2 linked regions of the Danio rerio genome follow. The protein of the gene in region 2 binds, or shares a complex with, the protein of the main gene of each other region. Links are inferred from orthologs where the notes say so. Each region holds a gene or a part of one and is shown on either strand. Other genes may lie near its edges.

Evidence for each region. The genes of interacting proteins can lie anywhere in the genome.
Region 1: the proteins of sem1 (region 2) and ints7 are in contact, whole or in part, in a cryo-EM structure (PDB 8YJB), measured with the Homo sapiens proteins. The link is inferred for Danio rerio from reciprocal best matches to the Homo sapiens genes SEM1 and INTS7. Residues at the interface, in NP_006295.1 of Homo sapiens: Ala36, His37, Val38, Trp39, Glu40, Asp41, Asn42, Trp43, Asp44, Val48, Glu49, Asp50, Phe52, Ser53, Gln55, Leu56, Arg57, Glu59, Leu60, Glu61, His63, Gly64, Tyr65, Lys66, Met67; in NP_056249.1 of Homo sapiens: Lys410, Leu413, Asn414, Val417, Leu448, His451, Cys452, Ala454, Ala455, Met458, Glu488, Val491, Thr495, Leu517, Glu518, Ser521, Asn522, Gly523, Trp524, Val526, Tyr527, Arg528, Arg531, Gln532, Arg535, Ser548, Leu549, Thr551, Gln552, Val553.

What each region holds. Positions count from the first base shown.
Region 1 is NC_133195.1:14,373,806-14,377,938, forward strand, and holds the start of ints7 (integrator complex subunit 7), read right to left. Parts: upstream 2,823-4,133; 5' UTR 2,725-2,822; coding exon 2,631-2,724; intron 902-2,630; coding exon 772-901; intron 1-771. UniProt on the Homo sapiens protein: Component of the integrator complex, a multiprotein complex that terminates RNA polymerase II (Pol II) transcription in the promoter-proximal region of genes.
Region 2 is NC_133194.1:44,123,150-44,127,297, reverse strand, and holds the start of sem1 (26S proteasome complex subunit SEM1), read left to right. Parts: upstream 1-1,295; 5' UTR 1,296-1,655; coding exon 1,656-1,731; intron 1,732-2,203; coding exon 2,204-2,297; intron 2,298-4,148. UniProt on the Homo sapiens protein: Component of the 26S proteasome, a multiprotein complex involved in the ATP-dependent degradation of ubiquitinated proteins.

The DNA of each region.
Region 1 (4,133 bases), on a different chromosome or scaffold from region 2:
TCAAAAAGCGGACGAGTCTAAAGCAATGACTGTACAACCGAAATGTTGCCAGACGTCTGATTTTGAGAGGATGGGCCATCCTCTATATCAGCTCCACTCATCTTGGTCTGCTAACATTACTGCTGCTGCAATCTGAACTCACGTGCGACAGCAGGTGGAACGTAGCTCACGTGCAAACAGCTCAACTAATAAGAGAAAACGGACGTCATATCGTAATCAAATCGTCATAACACCACGATGCATAGAGACATTTTTGCATTGCAATAAATCGTACAACGATAAATCGTTACATCCCTAATCACGATATATTTTGGTAATTTTCCCCCTAAATAAAATTTAGCCAGATCCGCACAACATACCTCTAAATAAATAAGGGTGCTGACGTATGTAGCCTACCTATATTTAGCAACCCTATTTAATAGAGCGGCATAACAGTGCTAGTCACATGGTTGCTTTCACTTTTATGAACATGAAAAAAACTAGTTTCGGCTATTATTTAAATTTAATTGAACAAAGGGAGCTGTTTACATTGCGTTAACCAAGGCAACTACTGATGCGGTTTGTGTAATGTTTTTAAAGAGCTTTGTCGCAGCAGGACAGTGGAAAATGAAACCGTATCCGTCCTGTCTGGCCTGGTTTGGCACGGAATGGAACGGTTCTGCTTAAAGAACGATTCAGCACGATAGTGGAAAAGCAGCTATTGACAATTTTGTTACCATATCTAAACTATTAAACATGACATAATTCGTATGTATTTATATGTGCAATTACCCAAGTCTGAAGATATCTGCCAGCTTCAGGAAGGCAGAGTTGATGAGGATGGGGAACGGGTATTTCTGGAAGAGTTTGGGAAAAAGGACCACGGCTTCACACTGCTCGCCCAGTTTACAAGACCGTAAACCTGGAGCAAAGACAAAATCAGAAGTGTGTGAGTAAAAGGAATGATTCACGCTCAAATATGTATGTTTTTTATTCATACTCTGTAAAAATGTTGGGTTCCACAATAGCATGAATGGATTAAGTTATATTATTAGATTTTACAAATTTTAGTTGATTGAATCTAAAACAACTAAGTGTTCCCAAAATAAAACTTAACAATTGTGTTGTTTCTGTTAATTTTAAATAAATGAACAAACAGCATACATTTGTCAAGTTACTCTATAACGATGGTTTGTTTTGTAGACTATCGGAAAAATATATAGCTTAAAGGGCCTAGTAATTTTTACCTTAAAATGTTTCTTAAAAATATAAAAACTGCTTTTATTCTTACTGAAATAAAACAAATAAGACTTTCTCAAAAAGAAAAAAATATATTATCAGACATACTGTGAAAGTTTTCTTGCTCTGTTAAACACTATTCTGGAAAAAAAAAAATAACAATTCAAATGGGGGCTATTAATGCTGACTTCAACTGTATTGCTTTTTTAGTGTCACATCCTTTGTTTGTTTTCTAAACCCATTTCAGTTTTATTACTCTGTCGAACACTAAAGAAGATATTTTAAAACCTGAACCACACTGTTCCAGTTACTATGACCATTTATGTGAAGCTGCTTTGACACAATGTACATTGTAAAAGCGCTATACAAATAAAGCTGAATTGAATTGAATTGAATATTTTGAAAAAAGCTGTAAACCTGTAACTATTGACCTACATTTGTTGTCCTACTGTGGAAGTCAAAGGTTACTGATTTTGAACATTGTTCAAAGTATCTTCTTTTGTGTTTGCAGCATGCTTTTTTATATAATTTAAGCACTTTTCAGATGCACATTTTTTGAATGCATGTGTATGTAAATGTGTGGCATATTACACATTTACATACACACACATGCTTTATTACATTTTATCAGATTCTATTCATAAGATTTTTTTTTATATGAATGTCATTTACTTAAATCTTAGATGTATCTAATTTCATCTTATACTCAAGGAGTGCAGACAAAATAAGATAGAAGGCAGATCATGCTACAGGCTTATGTACAGACCCCAGATTTTCATTTTATGCACAAGCAATGAGAGTTATTATACTTTTATTTAAACAGTAATTTTCACTGTTATTACCCGTTTAATAAGACAGGTAAAGTTGGTTTTATATTCGTACATTTGTTCATTGACAACTTGTGACACGCTCCCTATAGCGTTTACCATGGTACTTTGAATATTCAGTATAAAATCACATGTAAGTGTGACTTCAAAACAACATAAGCACAATTTTTTGACTGTAAACAATGTTGTACGTTCAGTAAGATCAATGATTATGAAAGCAATGCAATTACTTTCCAAGCACTTCATCCATAATCTAAGCACTTTTTAGACCTTAGTAGTTTAAAATTAAAGCATTTTATCACCCGTGTGGCGTGTGCAAAGAAGAAGAAACTCATAAAAGTCAAACTACTTGACGGTTGCGTAAATTCTGGATCTTTCCATAACATATGTTACATCCCTAAAACATTCTGTAAAAATGAAAACAAAGCACAGTATAGACTAAAGTACAGTAGTAGCCTACATAATAAAATTATAGAAGAGCTTTTTCATGCGAACAGATACAATGTATGATATTCAACATTAAAATAGCACACACACACACTGCATCAAAAAACAAATACACGTGTGTTGTTTATAAAGAGCCACCTTTATCGAGCTCCATCAGCGCTGAATTGGCGTCCAGCTCCTGCTCGCCGTATGCCGCCTCCGAAAGAAACGAACGCGCTGCTGAAAGCGACATTGTTTATTATTAGACTGCAAAAAATGTAACCCGATAGACTGCTCTCGGATTTAACACTTTATTTGTTTTATCAGATGGAGATTTTGTGCATTAAGTTTGAAGTGTGACCCGGTTGTAAAGCAGGTCACGTGACGCACAACGCCAGTTTCGTCGTCGGGTTTCCGTTGCGCTACAAGGAACGCTAGAAGCGAAAGCGACCCAAAGAGGTGACCAAAGAAGGCGGGGCTTATGAGTCGGCATTTACCCTGATTAGTCTAAACCTCTGCTCAGCTTTTAGGCTCTTCATGCTATCATAATTTTTATTTAATCATTTGCAAAATTATATATATATATATATATATATATATATATATATATATATATATATATATATATATATATATATATATATATATATATATATATATATATATATATATATATATATATATATATATATATATATATATATATATATATATATATATATATATATTATTGCTTGCTATCAGAACAAAATCCAAAGGATCCCAGAGATCACTTTAAAATGATCAATAGTATACACAGTCATAAAAATTATCACAAACACATACAAATAACATATCATTAGACTGAAAGGGAAAATATTAATAATTATAATATTAATAATAATAAAATTATGATAATAACAAAATTACTAAATTAAACAAACTAAATTAAACAAATGAATGAAATTACAATGACACTTAAACAAATAACCAAAAGGAAAGCAACTAAACTTAAGCATCTCCTACATCTGTATAATATTTCAGGAATTTTAGGGTTTTTTATTCTTAATAAGATTAAGTTTTTGTGTTTCTGTGGCGTTTACATGTTCTTCCAGTGTTTGCGTGGGTTAAAAAAATATATGCTGTAGGTGAACTGGGTAGGCTAAATTTTGTGTGTGTGTGTGTGTGTGTGTGTGTGTGTGTGTGTGTGTGTGTGTGTGTGTGTGTGTGTGTGTGTGTGTTTGTGTGTGTGTGTGAATGAGTGTGTATGGATGTTTACCACTTATGGGTTGCAGCTGGAAGGGCATCCGCTGCGTAAAACCATATTCCGCAGTGGCAACTCCAAAACAATAAAGGTACTAAGCCAAAAAGGAAATAAATGAAATAATGAATATATATATATATATATATATATATATATATATATATATATATATATATATATATATATATATATATATATATATATATATATATATATATATATATATATTGTTAATGTTAATGTTAACCCGGATTTTTTTGGGGCCACATGGCGCCTCTAGTGTTCGCAGCCATTCCACTCCGCTCGCAGTGGCTTAACACTTCCTGTTTCCTGACGTGTCGACCAATTAGAACACTGTTCGTCCATCTCGCGGGGAATTCGTCTTCAGCGCTTTTTCATTGTTCGCGGGAAACTTACCA
Region 2 (4,148 bases):
AAACCCAATAAGTTAAGGTAACTCAAACCATTTGAGGAAACCGATAGGAACAAAACATTTAAGTTCAAAAACTAATCCTAATGAGTGCTGTGAACTTAATCTATTTGAGTAAATGAACCAATTTGAGCACAGTAAACTCCAATAAATGAAAAGAACTCAAACCAACTGAGTACTGTAAAACCCAATACGTTTTCACTGTAAAAAGTGATTAGTTACTTAAAGCGAGTACACTAACTGCCTTAAAAGCAACAAGTTGACTTTACAAAAATAATGTAAGTAAACTCATTGTAACTTGGAACTGTAAAGTTGACTTAATTTTTATATTCATGCTAATTGTACTTAATTTTTAAAGTCAACTAATCCCTTTTTACAGTATCAGACTAATTTAGCACGTCTGTTTTTAAATAATTACTGTAATTATCACAGTAATACATATTTGATGCTTCATTAAGTCTATAAATTACACTTATAGCCTGTATTAAGGTAATAAAACCCACTGGAGTCTGGAAGAGCAGATTTATGAAACTGTCATTGTCCTGTAGATACAGAAAAGTTGGGGGGAAAAAAACTAAATACAATAAATGGGAAAAAGTGATTAGTTTACTTTTATTTTTAAAAAGTAAGTACAATTTGCATAATTATAAAAATTAAGTCAAGTGCAGTTTCAAGTTACTATGGGTTTAAACATTGAGTTCAAAACTCTTTTCAAATGAGTAGAACTAACTTTCAGTAAATTTTGAGTCAACTACACTCATTTTGTGTGATCAAGTTGACTGTTGGGTTTCACAGTGTGGTTCCTGGAAAAAAAAGGGTAAATCTTTTAACTATTTCTTGCAAAAAGGATACATTATTATAATATCCGATATAATATTTAAAAATGAAATCTGATAAACATATAATTAAAATGTGAACACATCAATTATGATTAATCTATTTATTGAAAACATATAAATATAAATAATATTTATAATATTTTTCCATACAACGTGAAAATAATAATAAAATATAATAATAATAATAATAATAATAATAGGCTTAATTTTTAAATCAAATATTTAAATTGTTATAATATGGATTATATTATATTATATTTATTGCGTATTTCATTCATTCATTCATATTCTTAGTTCCTTTATTAATCAGAGGTCGCCACAGCGGAATGAATCACCAACTTATCCAGCATATGTTTTACGCAGCGGATCCCCTTGCAGCTGCAAGCCATCATAAGCTAAATTGGCGGTAGTACATGTGTGTGAATGGGAGTGTATAAGTGTTTCCCAGTGATGGGTTGCAGCTGTAAGCGCATCCGCTGCGTAAAGCATGTGCTGAATCAGTTGGCGGTTCGTTCCGCTGTTTTTTTTAATACACCAGTGATTACTTTCAAAGTAGCCTACATTTAATCTATAATTGTAATACTGCAAGCACGTTGATAATATTAGAAGACTACTATAAACCATATGGCTCATTCGGCGATATCTATTATATAAAGCTTTTTATATAAACACTTCAAACTGCTTGGCTTATAAAAAGGCAGTGAAGCCCTTGTGCATGTTAAAAAGCTTGGCGCAATCGGTAGCACGGTTTTGCGCATGCGCACCAGAACATTTCTCTCAGTTCATAACGTCGAGTGTCCACGCTGTTCACAGAAACACAACATGTCAGAAAAGAAGCAAACAGTGGATTTGGGGCTTTTGGAGGAGGATGATGAATTTGAGGAATTCCCAGCAGAGGGTAAGTGAACTGAAAATGAACAGAAATTAGCTTTTTTTTGCTCGTTTTAGAGATAATAAACATCCACGACAGGACAGTGACTCAGCTAGCACAGCTAACGTAGCATGCTAACTGACAAAACATTCTTTATACAGCAAATTGTTAACATATCGTGTTTTTTAAAGGAATCTAATAATTATAAATTGTTTATACGTTTTTAAATAATACATCTGAGCGTGTTCTAAGTTAGTCCACAGCCGTGGAAAAAAAACGTTTTAGTAGTTAGCATTTTAGCATCTCTGAAGCTAATGTTATACATTGTGTACACTTGTCATTTGCTCAATTTGAAGTCAATGACTGCTTTTGTTAAACGTATGTATGTTTAATGCTCTGTACAGTCTGTTCTGTGACTCTTATTTGTGCATTAACATTAAGTCAACATTGAAGCCCGTGTTAATCATCTTATTGAACTGAGCTGTTGTCTCATTCTCAGACTGGACGGGCCTGGATGAAGATGAGGATGCTCATGTTTGGGAAGATAACTGGGATGACGACAACGTAGAGGATGACTTTTCTAATCAGCTGAGGTAGGAGATGCATTATCAATGTATAAATTATGTATATGAAATACGGGGCATGCTTTATTGTTGCACTAAATAAGGAGTATACTAGTTTAATCTAACTTCACAGTATGCAATTCCTGGTAAACATTATGGTGTTCTAGTGTCTCTTATAATCTGCTAGCATATTAACTTTCTGTCAAGCCCACATTTTGTCTAAAGAATTTGGTGTGGTTAAACTAATTTAGAAGAAAACCCTCCCTAAGGGAACTAATAGTCCAATGGCTAACCGACATTCATGGTGGCCTCAAACCACATTCACAAACTTTACTATCTGTGAGGACTTGGCCCAAGTACATACAGGCATTTAATATGCTTACATAGATGTTTAAAAGTATAAAATATAAGAGTAAGTTGCTATGTTATATAGTTTATGCTTCCTATCAAGGTTATTATAATTAAACATTTAACTATATATAAAAAAATGTCACTCGAAAATCTGTAAAAAATAAATAAATAAACCTTTGGTATATCAGTTTGTTGCTAATGTAAAAAGTTTTGTACTAAATTTTGTATGTACTATAAGGAAAAACATAAGCTGGAATCTAAATAATAAAAATTAAATGGGGATATTTGTTAAAAAAAAAGTAATGTTGTAAATACAAAAAAAAAACTTTATATCAAATAAAATAAAAAGAGCTCAGTTATAAAAACATAAATATAACCTAATCTTTGAGAATACCTCAAATAGAAATTCAAATAAATTTATACCAGTTTTTAAAAGGTTGATTAAAACACATTTTTAGAATTTAAATTTTTTAAAAATGGAAATAGAAAATTGAAAATAAAATCTTATTAAAAACTAAAATTCTATATAAAATTACTAAAATCTAATTATAGTAAAGTAACTTTTTTTCTCGGTACATTAAATTAAATACATTATTTTCTCTTTCCTGATGCTTATAAATAAAGCCAGACATTTTTTGTTATTTCTGCGCAGAATTATTTTAAAAATCTGTGGATTTATGCATAATGATTTTAGTAAAACTGTAACAAAACTTAAAGTATGAAATAAAAAAAAGAATATTTTTTTAAACTTTTTTTTTTTAGTGCTTAAAATGCAAATTCATATATGTAGATCCATTTATTGGGTAAACAACACAAGTCTGTCATAAAATATCCAATAAAAGACAGAAATTATTACTTTAAAAATTGTATTGTGAATAAATCAAAAGACCAATTTTTTTATATTAGGTCAATATTATTACAGAAATTGATTAAAAAAACTAAATAAATATAAATTTACTCACATTTACACAAGTAAATAAATGGACTCAGTGGTGGAATAAAAATCTGTGGTAATCTGTGTGCACAGATTTCATATGGGCCTATATATAAGCAATAAATCTGTTGACATTTCTCACAAATTCCCCATTTGATTTCCAGCACTATAAAAACTAACAGTTATAAGGGCTGTGCGATTTATTTGAAATTAGCATTTAGTTATGTACAATATTTTTGGATTATTTCATTTCCCCCGCCCAGAGCAAATGCGAGATTGCCGTCTGTGTGTGAATTCTTACTATCTAATTGAGTGAGCACACTTTCTGCCCAATCAGAATTGAATAGAATTGAACTCTGCGAAACGCCCATGATAAAAAACAAAAACAGGAAAGCGCAGACAAGTGGGATAATGGTATCTGCTGTTTCAAAAGCAATAATGAATTAACATAAAAGAAAAACAGCATTTGTTAATATGCGAATGTTTTGGTTTCAAACTCGCAGACACTGAACCAAACCAGGTCATTTTTAAGAGCTGTTGCAGAATTGTTGCTATTACTTGCAGATTATTGAGCTGAAGCTTGACTACAAAATGAA